Linked DNA regions of Diceros bicornis minor. The protein of the gene in region 2 interacts with the protein of the main gene of each other region in a pairwise test. Links are inferred from orthologs where the notes say so. Each region holds a gene or a part of one and is shown on either strand. Other genes may lie near its edges.

Region 1 (7,395 bases), on a different chromosome or scaffold from region 2:
TTTCTCAACAACCAAATTAAATGCAAACTCCTCTACTCAGTTCTGAACTTCATGTTCATGCCAGCCTCATCTTTCTACCACTACTCTCTCTGAGCAGAGCAAATGCATAGGCTCTGATGCCACAGAACATAGAATCGTGGCTCTGCCCCTTACAAATCATGTAACCTTGGGCGACTGGTTTAACTTCTGTACCTCGGGTTGCTCATCTGTAAAATGGGGATAATAATGTACTTGTTTATATATGGGTTTTCTGTGATGATTAATTATATTAATAGATATGAGGGCTTAATAGATGTCTGATTTATGGTAAGAATCCAATAAATGATAGCTCTTATTATTACTCATATACTCTAGAAAATTCCAGCAACCCTCTTTCCCATACAAATGATAACATTTTACCAAAGTACTTTGACACATGTTGTTTCCTTGGTCCCTAGTTCAAAAATCCTATCCATCCTTCAAGATCCATCTTAAGCAACATTTGTTCCAAGATACATGGCTTGTATGGCATCAAAGTCAGTCTTATATCAGTGATTTGTTTGCATTTGTGGGGATTCTTGCCATGTGTCAGGCACCCAGCACATCAGTGAAATGAGACAGGCCCTGACCCAGAGGCACAACCAAGTGGGGAAGGGGATGTGCCTCCCTCCTGGGTTAGCACAGCCAGGGCTCTAGGGCCATGTCTGCCTCCACTTTGCATTCCCGACAAGTTCTCCTGCAGAAACTTTTGCTTACTACACATTTGATTACATTTTAGTAAAGCTGGTATTTTTAATTTTGTGAGAATTCAAAAAATATGTTGCCATATGGTAACTCTATGCTTAACGTTTTGAGGAACTGCCAAAGTGTTTTCCAAAGTCGCTGCACCATTTTGCATCCCCACCAACAGTGTATGAGGGCTCTAACGGCTCCACATCCTCACCCACACTTGTTATTATCTGACTTTTTTTTTTTTTTTGAGGAAGATCAGCCCTGTGTTAACATCTGCCAATCTTCCTCTTTTTTTGCTGAGGAAGACTGGCCCTGGGCTAACATCCGTGCCCATCTTCCTCTGCTTTATATAGGACGCTGCCACAGCATGGCTTGCCAAGCGGCGCACCGCCACGGTGGAGTGCATGCACTTAACCGCTTGTGCCACCAGGCCGGCCCTATCTGACTTTTTGATTACAGCTATCCTAGTACGTATGAGGTGACATCGCGGTGTGGTTTTGATTTGCATTTCCCTGATGTCTAATGATGTTGAGCATATTTTCATGTGCTTATTGGCCATTTGTCCACCTTCTCTGGAGAAATTTCTATTCAGATCCTTTGCCCACTTTTTAATTGGGTTATTTGTGCTTTTGATATCGGTTGGGAAAAGTTCTTTATATGTTCAGGACGTATCCTTATCAGATATATGATTTGCAAGTATTTTCTCCAATTCTGTGGGTTGTCTTTTAACTTTCTTGATGCTCTTCTTTAAAGCACAGAAGTTTTTAAGATTGGTGAAACCCAATTTATCTATTTTTCTTGTGTTGCTTAAGCTTTTGGTGTCATATCTAAGAAGACTTTGCATAACCCCAGGTCACAAAGATTTACTCCGATGTTTTCTACTGTTTTCTAATTTTACCTCTTTTATCTAGGTCTATGATCCATTTTGAGTAAATTTTTGTGTATGGTATTATAAGGGGTCCAACTTCATTCTTTTGCATGTGGATATCCAGTTGTTCCAGTACAATTTGTTGAAAAGACTATTCGTTCCCCCATCGAATTATCTTGGCACCCTTGTTAAAAATCAATTGACCATATGTGCTGATTTAATTTCTGGACTCCATTCTATTCCATTGACCTATATATCTATCTTTATGCAAGTAACACGCTGTCTTGGTTATTATAGCTTTGTAGTACATTTTGAAATTGGGAAGTGTGAGTCTTCCAACTTTGCTCTTCTTTTTCAGGATTGTTTGGGCTATTCTGGGTCCCTTGCACTTCCATATGAATTTTAGGCTCACCTTGTTAATTTCTTCAAAAACAGTTTGTTGAGATTTTGATAGGGATCATGTTTAATCTGTATATTATTTGGAGATTGTTGACATTTTAATGACATTGTCTTCCAATCCATGAACATGAAGTGTCATTCCATTTGTTTAGGTCTAATTTAATTTCTTTCCTCAATGTTCTCCGGTTTTCAGAGCACAAGTTTTACACCCTTTTTGTTAAATTTATTCTAGAGTATATGATTTTTTTGCTCTATGGTAAATGTAATTTTTTCTTAATCTCATTTTTTTAATGTTCAATGCTGGTGTATAGAAATAAAACTGATTTTGTATACTGATCTTATATCCTGAAACTTTGCTGAACTCACTTATTAGCTCTAATAGTTTTTCAATTGATGCCTTAGGATTGTCTAAACACATGACGATGTCATCTGCACATAGAAATAGTTTTACTTCCTTTCTAATCTGGATACGTTTTATTTCTTTTTCTTGCCGGATTGCCCTGGCTAGAACCTCCAGCACAGTATGGAATAGAAATGGAGAGAGCTGACATCCTTCTCTTGCTCCTGATCTTAGATGCAAAAACACTCAGTCTTGGGGGCCAGCCTGGTGGCGTAGTGGCTAAGTTCGCCCGCTCTATTTCACCACCAGGGGGTTCATGGGTTCAGACCTGGGCAGGCGACCTACACACAGCTCATCCAGCCATGCTGTGGTCGCATCCCACATACAAAATAGAGGAAGATGAGCACAGATGTTAGCTCAGGGCTAATCTTTCTGAGCAAAAAGAGGAAGATTGGCAATGGATGTTAGCTCAGGGCCAATCTTCCTCACCAAAAACAAAAAATGCAACTGTGATAGTATGTCCCATAGGAGGAAAGGCATGCTCACCCGTTCAATCTGTAACCCTGAAATTAATCTATGGGATCTATGATCCACAACGGTATCGTCCAAGTTTGAGTTACTCACAGGAAAGAGACAGAAGTTCCCTAATTCGTCCTTAAAAAGTTTTCCAAGTTTAAAAAAAAAGTCAAGGAACATTCCTCTCGGCGAGAACTGCTTCTCCTGTAGCCCCAGCTCTCTCCGTTTCGCGACCCCTCCTGGATGCGGAGCTACGAATCAGGTGAGCGCAGGTCTGATGCGTGACATTGGGGATGACTGTGGCATCACCCCGCTTCCGTCAGCATCTGGAGAGGGAGACGGTTGGGCCGCGAGGGTCTCCCGGGGCGGGGCGGAGGAGGAGGGAATGCAAAACAGAGCGTCGCCCCTGGAACCTACGGAGCAGCAACGCCCCTCGCTATAAATTTGGAGCTGCTTCGTCGCGGAGGATTCCAGCGCCTGTCAGCCAGACGCCCGGGCGGTGGGCCACAGAGCGCCTGGGCGGGCGCACGGCTAGCAGCTCTGCCAGGCGGGGGCGGCGATTGATGCGGCCCAACCCGAGCGGACCCCGGGAGTGAGGGCGCACGGCCGGACGCCGAGGCGGCGCGCGGAAGCCCCGGCACTAGCGCCGCCAGCTCGCGGCCCGACGTGGGCGCAGCGCCCCGAGCGCGGGTGAGTCGGCGCCCGCTGCCGGGCCCGGCCGGGGGCTGCGGGGCGGCGCGGTCAGTTGCACGTCCAGGTGTCCCGACTCGGGCGCTGTGCTGGGAGGCGCCCGGGGACCAAGGAGAGGGCGAGCGCAGTTCCGGTCGGCGCCCACCCGGAGCCGGCCGCCCTTCCCCAAGGTAAGGGGCGTCTGGGTTGGGAGGGAACAATTTGAGCTTGTTTCCCCCGTGCCCCAGAAATTTCATCCTGATTTGACCAAACTCTTTCGAGTTCAAGCAAGAATTCTGCAGAAATGGGGTGCAACCAAGCAAACTTTCTTCCCGAGGCTTTTAGCTAACTCTTCTCTTGTCTTTTAACCGTGACCTGAGTGGGAAGCCGGTATGACTCTGCCGGGCATCCCTTTAAAAGTTGTGCTACCTCTAAGGTGAAGTTAAAAATGTCCCCATCCTCCCTGTCTGCTTTCCAGGCGATGCCCCAGCTCATGTCCCCCTCTCCGCTCCCTGCAAACCATACCGGTGGATCCTTGGCACCGGACGCTGCCCCTACCCTGGACAAACTCTCCCACCTTCGGGTGTTCTCCCTGATTCATCAAATTGGGGCGAGGAGAAGCCGGGGCATCTCCACACCCTAATACCCACAGCCTCGGCCAGCGCACTTTTGTAGCTGAGGCGGGATTTTAGGAAAAGCTCTCGCTGGCTCCTTTCCTGCACCCCACCTCTCTAGCTAGCACACCATTCTCCAGTTCCTTTAAACGTCCAGCCCCGTGTCTCCACTGTGCTAGCCTGCTAAGGTCTCCAGAAGACCTCAGCAAGTCTCTCCCAAAGCTCTCCTGCCCATTGTCTTTGGGCAGCTACTGGGGAGTCGGGGCTGTTGGACCGTCTGAGGCTTCCTGACCTAATCTTCGCTTGTCGATGGCGTTATTAAGTATCAAAAACCCAGCAGCGGCCCTCAGGAGCTCTCTCTTCTGAGGTGCCTCTTTCCTCTGGGATCGTGTTTGGGACTTGGCTCCATCTATTTCTAGCGTCATTCAGGGAGAGAAGGCAACAGTGAGAGAAGTAAGGAATCTGGTGCTGCTGTTCTGTTTTGTAACTTTGTTGAGCAACTTGTGTCTCTTCCTGAAGATGCCTCAACCCCAACATGATTCTCTGGGCAGTTTCCACCTGACGGACCTGGGTCCCCAGGCATTTATTGCCTCTAGCATAAGCTGTAACCCCTTATAAGTCTTCCCCAAAAAAGAACCTGCCGGCTTCTGTTGTCTCCTGGAGTGTTTCCCCAGCTCCGAAGGCCCCACGTGGACACTCTCCTCAGGCTGTGTTGACTCCACCACCCTTCCTGGCCTGGAAGCACAGGGAGCAGGGAGTGGGCACTCCCATGTAACTAGCTGGGTGCTATTAGGAGAGTTATTTCACAACTCTGAACCTCAGGTCCCTGCCCATAAGTTTCCCTCCACTGATAAAATTCCTCGATTCCTTTTGTTTCCTAGTTATTGTTTGAAAAATAAAAGTGTAAAATATTTATCCTTTTAGTCCATGTTTGGGGTCCTCAAAGCTGTTTAAATCTCTCTCCTGGTGAATTATCTGCTCTGGAAAATCGTTAGGTTTTCCCATGCTGTCTCCAAGTGTCCTTCCCCAGATCACGGCTGGCAGTTCCTATAACCTGGCTTAAGGCTCAGGGAGTGGCCCCAAGTTGGCAGGTCTCAACATTTGTTAGTTGCATGATTATTCGTGTCAAGCCTGTTGTCTCTTCTGTGTCCCTCTTTTTGTGCTGACTTCACTGTGCTTTGTGCCCATTATGAGGCTTAATTTCTGGTTCGGCTCTTCTTTGACCTTAAACTGAATCAACTGCTCTGTCATCCAACTCAGAAGAAAACTGGTTTCTTCCCCTGATGCCAAGGAAGACTCATCTTCTCTGAGAAGTAGAAAGTGTCTTTCGGTCTCTGTTGCTTCAGCAATGCTCTGCATCCCAAGAGCTCTGAGCTTAAACCTTTCCTGTCCCTCTCCAACCCTGGTTCAGAGTACAAAAAAGGACAAAATTGTGGCTTGCTCAGGTTTCTTACTTTTTGTGTTTTTTCCTAGTTTGAGGTAAGATTTGTGTGTCTATAATTTTGTTTTTGGTTTTTTGCTGCTGCTGATTACTGTTGTTGTTATTACCTTGACTAATTATTTGCCCTATGCTAGAGGGAATATAATGAAAGAAAATTTAATCTGCTACTTACCCAAAGCCCAGGTAAAATACTTAGCTAAGACAGAGTTAGAAACTCATAGTTTAAATGCTTGATGCATGTCTCCTGCAGTTCTATCTGTGCTGTCACAGTGTCCTTTTCAAGTAGTTGAGTTGCTGTATTTTACTTTCAAATTTGTTACGGGGACGGAGATGGAGTCCCGTCACTCTGAGACGTCTTGGCTGGCTAATGCAGGCTCTGGCCTTTCTCCATGCTCACTGGTTTACCTAGTCCCTTTCCCGCTCAGTCATGATGGGGCAATGCCAGAGAGTCTCCCAAGTAGGCTAGCAAATTAAGAATTTTATTTAGAAGTGTGAAGTGAATCCAAGTGTTGTGAAGATTAAACAGCTGCCTTGAAGACACACGGTGGCAATAAACAAATACAGAACTAGAGCAACAAAACATGACAGAGTATCCGAGGCCAGGCTGGGAGCGCTTTTATCCCATGTTTATCTAGCAAACTGGACAAATCAGCTTTTAAACCCGTCACCGTTCGAAAGCGCTATTATTTTTCTTCAAGATAGTTCTAAGCGTTCTCTTTAAAAATTGCCTGAAGTCATTGGATTACATGGTTTGCATTTCTTTTCACATAGGTGCTTATTAAAACAGTATACTAAAACTCCCATAAGCAAAAATAAATTTTGTTCCATTTCTGCCTAAATTTAGCTATCACTTTACATTTTCTATTTTATTCACAATATGAAGTTTTTCTACCAAAAATCAACTTTTCAATGGCTTAATATATAAAGCCATCTTAAATCCAGGAGTATCTATAGGGATTTAAGGTAATATTCAACTGATTTGGCAAGTGAGTGCGATTATCCTATTAAAGCTCTAAAATATATTTCAATCACAGCAAAAAAAAAATCTAAAAGGATATAAATTTGCCAGATGTATCATGAGTTAGTGGCTACTTTAATGACAAATTTGACAACTGGAAGTAGAAAACAAAGTATATATTTAGAACAGTCATAGAAATGACTAGTGAATCTTGCTATTAGCTGTGGTTGTATTGACATTAAAAGTTTTGCCATCTTATTTTGATTCTTTCTCTTTTTAGCAGATGGTCACAGGGGGAAAAAAATCCCTTTAATATGAAAACCAAAATAGTCTTTCAAAATATTTTACATACTAACAGAGAATTCACTATACTGTAAATGCTGTAAGATTGTTTTATTTTATATTATTCTTGTAGTTCAATTTAGAAGAGTTTGGTTTTATTTTGTTTGTTTGCTTCCTAAATAGGTGTATCATCTAAATGTCTTAAGTAGAAATAAATGTCTAAAATCTGCCAGTTAGAGTTAGGGTTTCCTTCCTATACCGAAGAATACTTTAAATTGCTAGTCTTTAAATTGCTATACCGAAGAATACTTTAAATTGCTAGTCTCACGTTTCATTACTTTTCTAACATTTACAAGTTTGGAAAGTGGGTAAGAAATGGGTATGCTTTGTTTTTCATAATCTCATGGTGCCTTCATATTCCAAGTCCCAACTCTAGATGTCCTTAAAATTTTAAATCATAGAATTAATAATCATTCAGTTTGGGTCAACGTTTATGTGATTTCTTGTTCATTTTATACATTTATAAGCTACTTTGTTCTTCTCTAAATGATGTTAAAATCTTATTTAGATTGATGGATTTAAGTACTTCAGGTGGTT
Region 2 (7,395 bases):
TCCCTGAGGCCTAGCACCTGGTATAAGCTCGGTCCGGGCTGTGCAAGGTGAGCCCCTATACCCAGGTACATGCAGGTTGGGAGCAGGAGTGTCCCATGTGAGCAGTGACCATCCTATACACAGCCCACTTCCACTGGGGACATTTCCTACCCTTGGTTACCCTGGCTTCTCCTTGACAGCCCAACCCCCTCAGATGCACCCCAGGCTCCTGCTGGACCCTGTTCTGCCCCATGAGCTCTCAGAGCCATTCCTCCCATACCTTCCCTGTGTCCTCTGGGCCTGGCTGCAGTGTGACAGAGCAGGGCAGATTCTGGGGTATCTGTGGCAGAGGAAAGGAGAGGCTTCAGTTTCTCCAGAAAGCCCCCAAATCTTCCTCCCAATCTCAATTTAAGAGGCTGGGGAAGGACTCCTGGGGATGAGAAAGGAAGAAGGAAGGGGCCCCAGGGAGGAGGCAGAGAGGCAAGGGCTTCCTGAATGCAGGGTGACCCTGAAGGAGGTGGGTCTAGGGCCCCTCTTTACTGTGTCTTCCAGATCTGCCCATAATAGGTGCCTCACCCCCCAAACACAGTCCCAGACCCCTTGCCCTGCAGACGGTGGGGGGCATCCTCACTGTGAAAAAAAAGGGGTGGGCATGCTGGCCCAGCTTCCTCAGCAGCCGGTCCTGCAGGCGGGTGGGGGGCCGGGGCGGGTTGGGCACTGGGGGGAAGGCCTGGTAGGTGGCGATGAACAGGTCTTTGCGGAAGGACAAGCCCAGCACATCCAGGTCCTCGCGGCCATAGCGGAAGGCGCAGGTGAGGGTCACAAACACTGGCAAGGGAGTGCAAGGTGAGGTGGTCAGGAGCCCCTCTTCCTCGGTCCCCCCAGTACCTAGCAGTGGTTGCCCCTCCTCAGCAGCATGAATCCTGCCTGAATCCTACGCCTGGCTTCCGCCTCAGCCCTCCGTCTCTCTGGGGCCCCTCTCAACGCCAGTTCCCTTCCCCACCTCCCTGTCTTCCCTTGGGCCTCTGGACTTGGGGCCAGTACCTTTTCGGTCCTTCAAGTAATCAGGGTCCACGAGCACCACGCCATCTGGAAGGGGACACATGAGCTCATTTCCTGTCAGGGCCTCTCCTCCATTCCTGGGCCCAGGAACTTCTTCCCCTCTTCGGGGATGTGACGCCACTTTCTGGGGCACTTACCTACAGGATCCACTTTGTCCAGGTGATCTACAAAGTCCCGCTTGCCCAAGTATACGGTGAGCTGAGGATGGAGAGGGTAACGGGAGATTGGGTAGGAGGGTGGCAGGGCATCAGAGCCCTCAAATGTGGCTGCCCTGCCCCTGGTCTTCCCAGGCTGGGGTATCTGGAAGGAGTTTCTCCTGGTTTTCTCCCAGTAGGGTTGGAAGGGGAGGATGGTGGGGGTTTTTAGCCACTTTGAGGCTTTTTAGCTGCTCCCTAAAATCTTTTCACACCTCTGCCCACCACTCAAGTGTGTGAGTTCTCAGGGAGAACCCAGCCCTAGGCAGCCAGTTAGAGAGCAGGCTGTCAGCCTCACTCATTCCCCTCAAGGGGCTCTGGGATAAACAGGCCATAGCCTGGGGGGCTGTTAACTGTTCCCAGGCACCCTGGGCGGCTCCTAAGAGGGCTCCAGGCATGGGCTTCTGGCTCCTCCCTGTTGGTCTTGCTTAGGGACCCAGGCCTGTCCCCACCCAGCGCTGTAGCTGGCTCAGGCGGAGCAGCCTTTGTGGCAAGGGGCTTCAGGAGGGGAGGAAGTCGGCTCTGAGCTGTCACAGGAAGTGGGGAGCTAGGGGTTGGGGATCGTCTAGGGGCAGGCTAGGCCTTGTAAGGGCCCAGGGAGGGTTGGGAGGAGGAGTACTGTGGGAGACTCACCTTGCAGTTAGGGCTCGACTTCTTGAAGACCCTAACAAAACAGAAAGGGAAACCCCACTGCCTCCCTCAGACTCAGCAGGGACCCCCACGCCAGGACCTTCTCCCTCCCCAGCCTGAGAAACAGAGCTCACCCAGGATTCCTGCCTGGAGGCTTTGGGGCTTTGCCCAGCCCTAGCCCCTCCCACTTCTTCCTGAAGGAAAGGCAACCACAGGTCCTTAATATTTCCAACATGGCAGCCCCTCCAAGCTGGGTGCCATGGCAACCCCTCCCTGGTCCACCCTCACTAGTTCCTCTCCTCCCATGGCAATGGCCACTGGTTGCCACAGGAACCACCCAGGCTTTTCCCAAAGGACCTCCCCCAGGGGAACCTGAACGGCAGGTCGCAGCAATGTCTGTGTAAGACCTAACCCTCTTTCCATCTTCTCTGGTCTCCAGCTCCAATGACAGCTGGAGTACTTGGAAGAGCAATGGCCCTGGCCTTTGCCTCTCAAGTGCTCTACTGTAGGCACTACCTAAGTGTGACCCTACTCCATTAACCTCCAACTGTCCGCATCTCTGATCTCAGCAGCTTAAAAGCCTATTTGTCTTTCAAGGCCCAGCTCAGATATCACCTCCTTTAGAAAGCAGATCCAACCCAGACCCTAGTCACTCCTTTTTTTGGGCTTCTGTCACACCTTGTTTATGTTTTACTTGTGGTGTGATAGCAAACAAGGGCAGTTAGCTGTGTATCATCTGTCTCACTAGACAGACTGTGAGCATCAGAGGCCTTATTCACTTAGGCATCCCCAGCACCATGCCAGCCATATGACAAAGATGATGCTGGCTAACATTTATTGGGTGAATACTCCATGCTCAGCACTGTTTGAAGTGTTTCACCTAATTTAATACTCCTAATGACCCAATGATGGAGGTCCTAATATTCCTATTTTACAGTTGAAGAAACTAAGGTACAGGAGAGGTCAAGTATTTTGCCTAAGGTAACAGTGTAAATGGTGGAATTCACATACAAACAGAGGCAGTCTGGCTCCAAGTCCATGCATTCATCGCTAAACCACTATACAGTTGTCCCTTGGCATCTGCAGGGGATTGGTTCCAGGACCCCTGGGGATACCAAAATCCGCATATGCTCAAGTCCCTTATATAAAATGGGGTAGTATTTGCATATAACCTATGCACATCCTCTCGTATACTTTAAATCATCTCTAGATTACTTATAATACCTAATAGAATGTAAATAGCATTTATATTGTATTGTTTAGCCAATAAGAAAAAAAGTCTGTACATGTTCAGTACAGACACGACCATTGTAGGCCTTTAGATCCGCGGTTGGTTGAATCTGCGGACATGGAGCCCGCAGGTACAGACGGCTGACTACACTACTCTGCCTCTGTAATTGGCATCAGGTTTGTTGAATTGAAGGGGATTTGCTTCCCAGTTGCTGAAACAATTTAAGCATGGACTCCATTCATTGCTGGGATGGTAGTGAAGTGTCTAGCTACTCCAATGCTCTGGCCACTTGTGGGCTTGTTCTTTGCTGCACCACCTTACAATCCACTCCCAATCCACTCTGGCTCGGCAGTGATCTGATCCCTGGGAAGGGTCCCCAGATAGTAGAAACTGAAATCCTGCCAACTGGTCCATCCCTTCTCCAATCCCACCAGCCGTTTCTGCTATAAAAACTTCACTTGCCCCTTCTTCCCAGAAGCTATCCAAAGGCCATAAGGCAAAGGGTATGGAGGTCCTCAGGTATTCCCATTCAATAAAGGAGAGCAAACGTTGATATGGTGGCAGCTGGAATAAGCACCCCCCTCTTGTCCCAACTTGGGGGCTGGTTGCTATGGCATCATCCAGCTCTCTTCCCTCTTTGCTTCTGGTTTTCCTCTTTGTCCCAGTGTTTCTTCCTATTAGGAGCCCTGGCAGAGGGCTGCAACAGCTACAGTCAGTTGGCCAACCGGAGTGTGGCTTTGGAATAATTGCCTTGGAGCAGCTGCAGGGCACCTGCCCTTTGGATCCTAACCCAGCCAACCTCCTGCCAGGCTGAGGGTGGGGGAGCAGCATGTGTATACTGAGGAGGCAGAGTGTGGGGGTGACCAGGGAGATGCCCAATGAGCGGGGGCAGCAGAAGCAGTGCCCCCTCACACTTCCTGCTATTCTCTCCGTTTCCTGTGGCCCAGAATTTGATGGGGATGTGGGGAATTGTGCCAAGTCAGCAGTCCCCCTCTGGTCCATCCGTCCTCCTCCCTGAACCACATAACGGAAATCGGGGCCCTCCCTCAAGTTAGCGACTTCCCCTTTCTCTGGGGTGTTTAATCTCTAATACAGGACACTAATCTTCCTTCTGATCATCTCTTTCCAATACTAGTCGACTTGGTGCTTAGAAGCCTGAGTTCTCCTACTCTATGGGGGTGCTGATATGATAGTGTTTTGTAGAACGAGTGACAGCTTAGGACCAGGCCTCCATTCCTGATGCCCTCTGGATAGAGGCATACAACCCCAATCTTTTCCTCTTTTGCTCCTGCTCCCCAGGGACTCAGGCATTCACCCACTGGCCCCTTAGGGGTGTTGGGTCACAACAGGAAGTGGATTTTGCTAGAGACCAAAAAAGAGAACTCGAGCTGTCAGTGGAAGGAAAGAGCCTCGATTGCACAGAAAACATCCGGGGAGTGGATGGCGTGCCCAGGGCAGATACTGCCTCCCCTCACCCCCGGGAAGAGGGGTAAGGCCCAGAATCGGGGAGGGTCGCCGTGCACTCTGCTCCCTAAGATGAAGCTGTTGTTCCTAGCAACCCAGGGGAAGGCAGAAGTTTGGAAGCGGGGCCGGCCCTCGGGACGGTGGGGGCAGCCCAACTGCCTGTGGGGTATTGGACAGGAGGCTTTTCAGTGGCTCGGCACGAGTCTAGGGGGGAATCCCCCTCCCGGCATCCAGCTTGCCCATACCCGACCCCTTGGGACCGGCCACCTGCTCCTCCTTCCTCCGCCTCTGCATCGCAGCCTGCACCGGAGAACCCAGTCCTCCGGCCCCCACATCCCTGCGAGAACTCAGATGCCGGCTTCCTGATCCCCTCAGCCCTCGCTTTCTGCAGGGGCCCTAGCATGCATCCCCCTCATTATCCTCGAGGACCTAGGCGTGCGGCCCCGGATGGCTGCTCCCTAGGGACCCAGGCGTCCGGCTCCCGGATTCTCTCCCCGGTGTCCTTGTCTGGGGACCGTTCCAGCACCCGCCCCGAGCCGCCGCCCACGTCCCGCCGCGTGGCCCCACCTGCCTTACCTGGTCCCTGGTTTCTCCCCCATGGTGCACGCGCCTGCCGCCCGCCCAGTTCGCGGCTCGCTTGCAGCCTCCTAGCCCGCTGCCAGGTCCCTGCTCCTCCCCGCGCCACTGCGCACGCGCGCCCTCCGATCTTTCTCCTCTCCCCCTCCCCTCCCGCCCCCCCTCGGATCCTGGGGAACAGGGGCCTGATGCGTCAGCCCGGATCGCGCGCGCCGCGGCGCTGCCCGCCCTCTTCTCACAGACACCGGCGGCGATTGGCTCCGCCCCCGCCCCCTCTGCGCTCTATCTCCACCCTTCCCGAGGGATCTCTCCCCGGCCAGCGCTGTGTCTACTCCCTGCTCTTCCCGCCCATCTCTCCGTCCCTCCGCACCCCATTAGAAACTGCTTGGGCTCCCTTAAACGAAGCCTCCCGCCTGCCAGAAGATTACAGCCCTCTGATTGGCTCCCTGCATCCAGGGCCCTGCAGGGGTTCCCTCCCCTTTGTTTGCTTTCTCTGTGGCGGTGGAGGCGGTGCAATGAGCTCAAGCACAGTCGGGGAAGGAGAATGAGGGGATACACACGTGGGTGAGCGGTTCTAGTTGCGTGGTGCTTGCCTTAGTGCTCGCCGCTCACCCGCTCATCCCAGAGCTTGCAGCCTTCTTGGGATCGCCCTCCCACTTCTTTATTGTGGTGTGTCAGCTCCCCCTGGTGTCTATTTTTGATCTTCGCAGGGTTACTTTTCTAATTTCTCTAACTACCCATCTCCATCCACTCATTCCAACTAATACCCATCCATCCACCCATCCCTCCCTCCCTCCCTCCCCATCTATCCACCCACCCACCCACCCAGCCATCCCTCCCTCCCTCCCCATCCATCCATCCATCCATGCCTATTTTGTGCCAGTCACTGTGGTAGGCGATGGGGACACAGACATTAATTAACATGGCTCCAGCCTTCGTAGTATAGGTGAGGACACACATGAACTGGTATTATGATCCCAGGAATGCTATAATGGAGGTATGACTCAGAAGACAAAGCAACTACCAGCATTTGACTGGAGCGGGGGTGGAGAGAGTGCAGGCTGTACAGAGGAGGAGACATTTGAGGACAATCTTTCTGAATAGTGGGCAGAAGTTGAGAAAGGGTATTCCAAAGAGAGAGAAAGGCCAGGCACATCCTGTTCTGAAGTGCTTGTGGGGTTAGATGGCAGGAGAGAGAAGGCTGAGGAGACTGGAACAGAGTCAAAACAAAGATTTTGTATAGCAGGTGAAGGAATGAGACTGGGGCCCTGCCCTGGAGGAGGACACATGGATCCAGTAGTGGTTTTTTAAGCAAAGAAGTGGCATGATGAGATTTCTCTTTTAGGAAGATAGTTCTGGGCAATGTGGAGGGTGGAGGGAGTGGGGCAAGGCTGCTGTAGACTGAAACCAGTCAAGGGGAAATGATGAACGATAGAGTGGGAGGGAGAAGAGGCTGAAGAGTCATTTCTAGGGCAAAATTGACTGGACTTGGGGAGGGTGATGGATGATGGACATTTCTGGACTTAAGGAGCTAAAATATTTTTTCTTCTTCCATCTCATTTCCCATACTCCCCATCTTTCCCAAATGAACTAACTTCACACTTCTCCCTCCACTTTTCTATGCACACAAGACAGTTTCTGAGATCATCTTTAAGGTTCAAACACACACCTTGTCCACCAGCTGCCACCTCCCTACCCCTCAGTTCTATCACCACCTTCTAAGCTCACTCTTCACCCCTCTCAAGTTTTAGATTCTTTTCGACTCGTGAATCACTTTTGTCAAAGGGTCAGGATCAGAAGGTAATGAGATGTGTATTGCTACATATCTAAACTGCTTTTGGAACTGAAAGATAAGTGGTCTGTGTGGCATGAAAACAACTGTATTAAAAGATACTAATATAAAGACAACTTTAGAAAGATAGTAAAGGAGGCCAGAAAGAAGGAAAGATATACACCATATTCTAGGTGGGAAAAACCATCATTATAAAGACGTCATTTCTCTGCAAATTGTCTATAAATTTAACGCCATATAAAATAATAACAAGGGGCCGGCCCCATGGCTTAGCTGTTAAGAGCGCGCGCTCCGCTGCTGGCAGCCCCGGTTCGGATTCTGGGCATGCACTGATGCACCGCTTCTCCGGCCATGCTGAGGCCGCGTCCCACATACAGCAACTAGAAGGATGTACAACTATGACATACAACTATCTACTGGGGCTTTGGGGAGAAAAAAGGAGGAGGATTCGCAATAGATGTTAGCTC

What was found. The genes of interacting proteins can lie anywhere in the genome.
Region 1: the proteins of ARRB2 (region 2) and AGTR1 interact in a two-hybrid assay, tested with the Homo sapiens proteins (2 studies listed by BioGRID and IntAct, with this or other methods). The link is inferred for Diceros bicornis minor from reciprocal best matches to the Homo sapiens genes ARRB2 and AGTR1.

Annotation. Positions count from the first base shown.
Region 1 is NC_080741.1:6,215,559-6,222,953, reverse strand, and holds the start of AGTR1 (type-1 angiotensin II receptor), read left to right. Parts: upstream 1-3,331; 5' UTR 3,332-3,694; intron 3,695-7,395. UniProt on the Homo sapiens protein: Receptor for angiotensin II, a vasoconstricting peptide, which acts as a key regulator of blood pressure and sodium retention by the kidney.
Region 2 is NC_080757.1:11,499,952-11,507,346, reverse strand, and holds the start of ARRB2 (beta-arrestin-2), read right to left. Parts: upstream 5,124-7,395; 5' UTR 4,896-5,123; coding exon 4,828-4,895; intron 1,900-4,827; coding exon 1,869-1,899; intron 1,240-1,868; coding exon 1,179-1,239; intron 1,069-1,178; coding exon 1,024-1,068; intron 808-1,023; coding exon 611-807; intron 320-610; coding exon 260-319; intron 1-259. UniProt on the Homo sapiens protein: Functions in regulating agonist-mediated G-protein coupled receptor (GPCR) signaling by mediating both receptor desensitization and resensitization processes.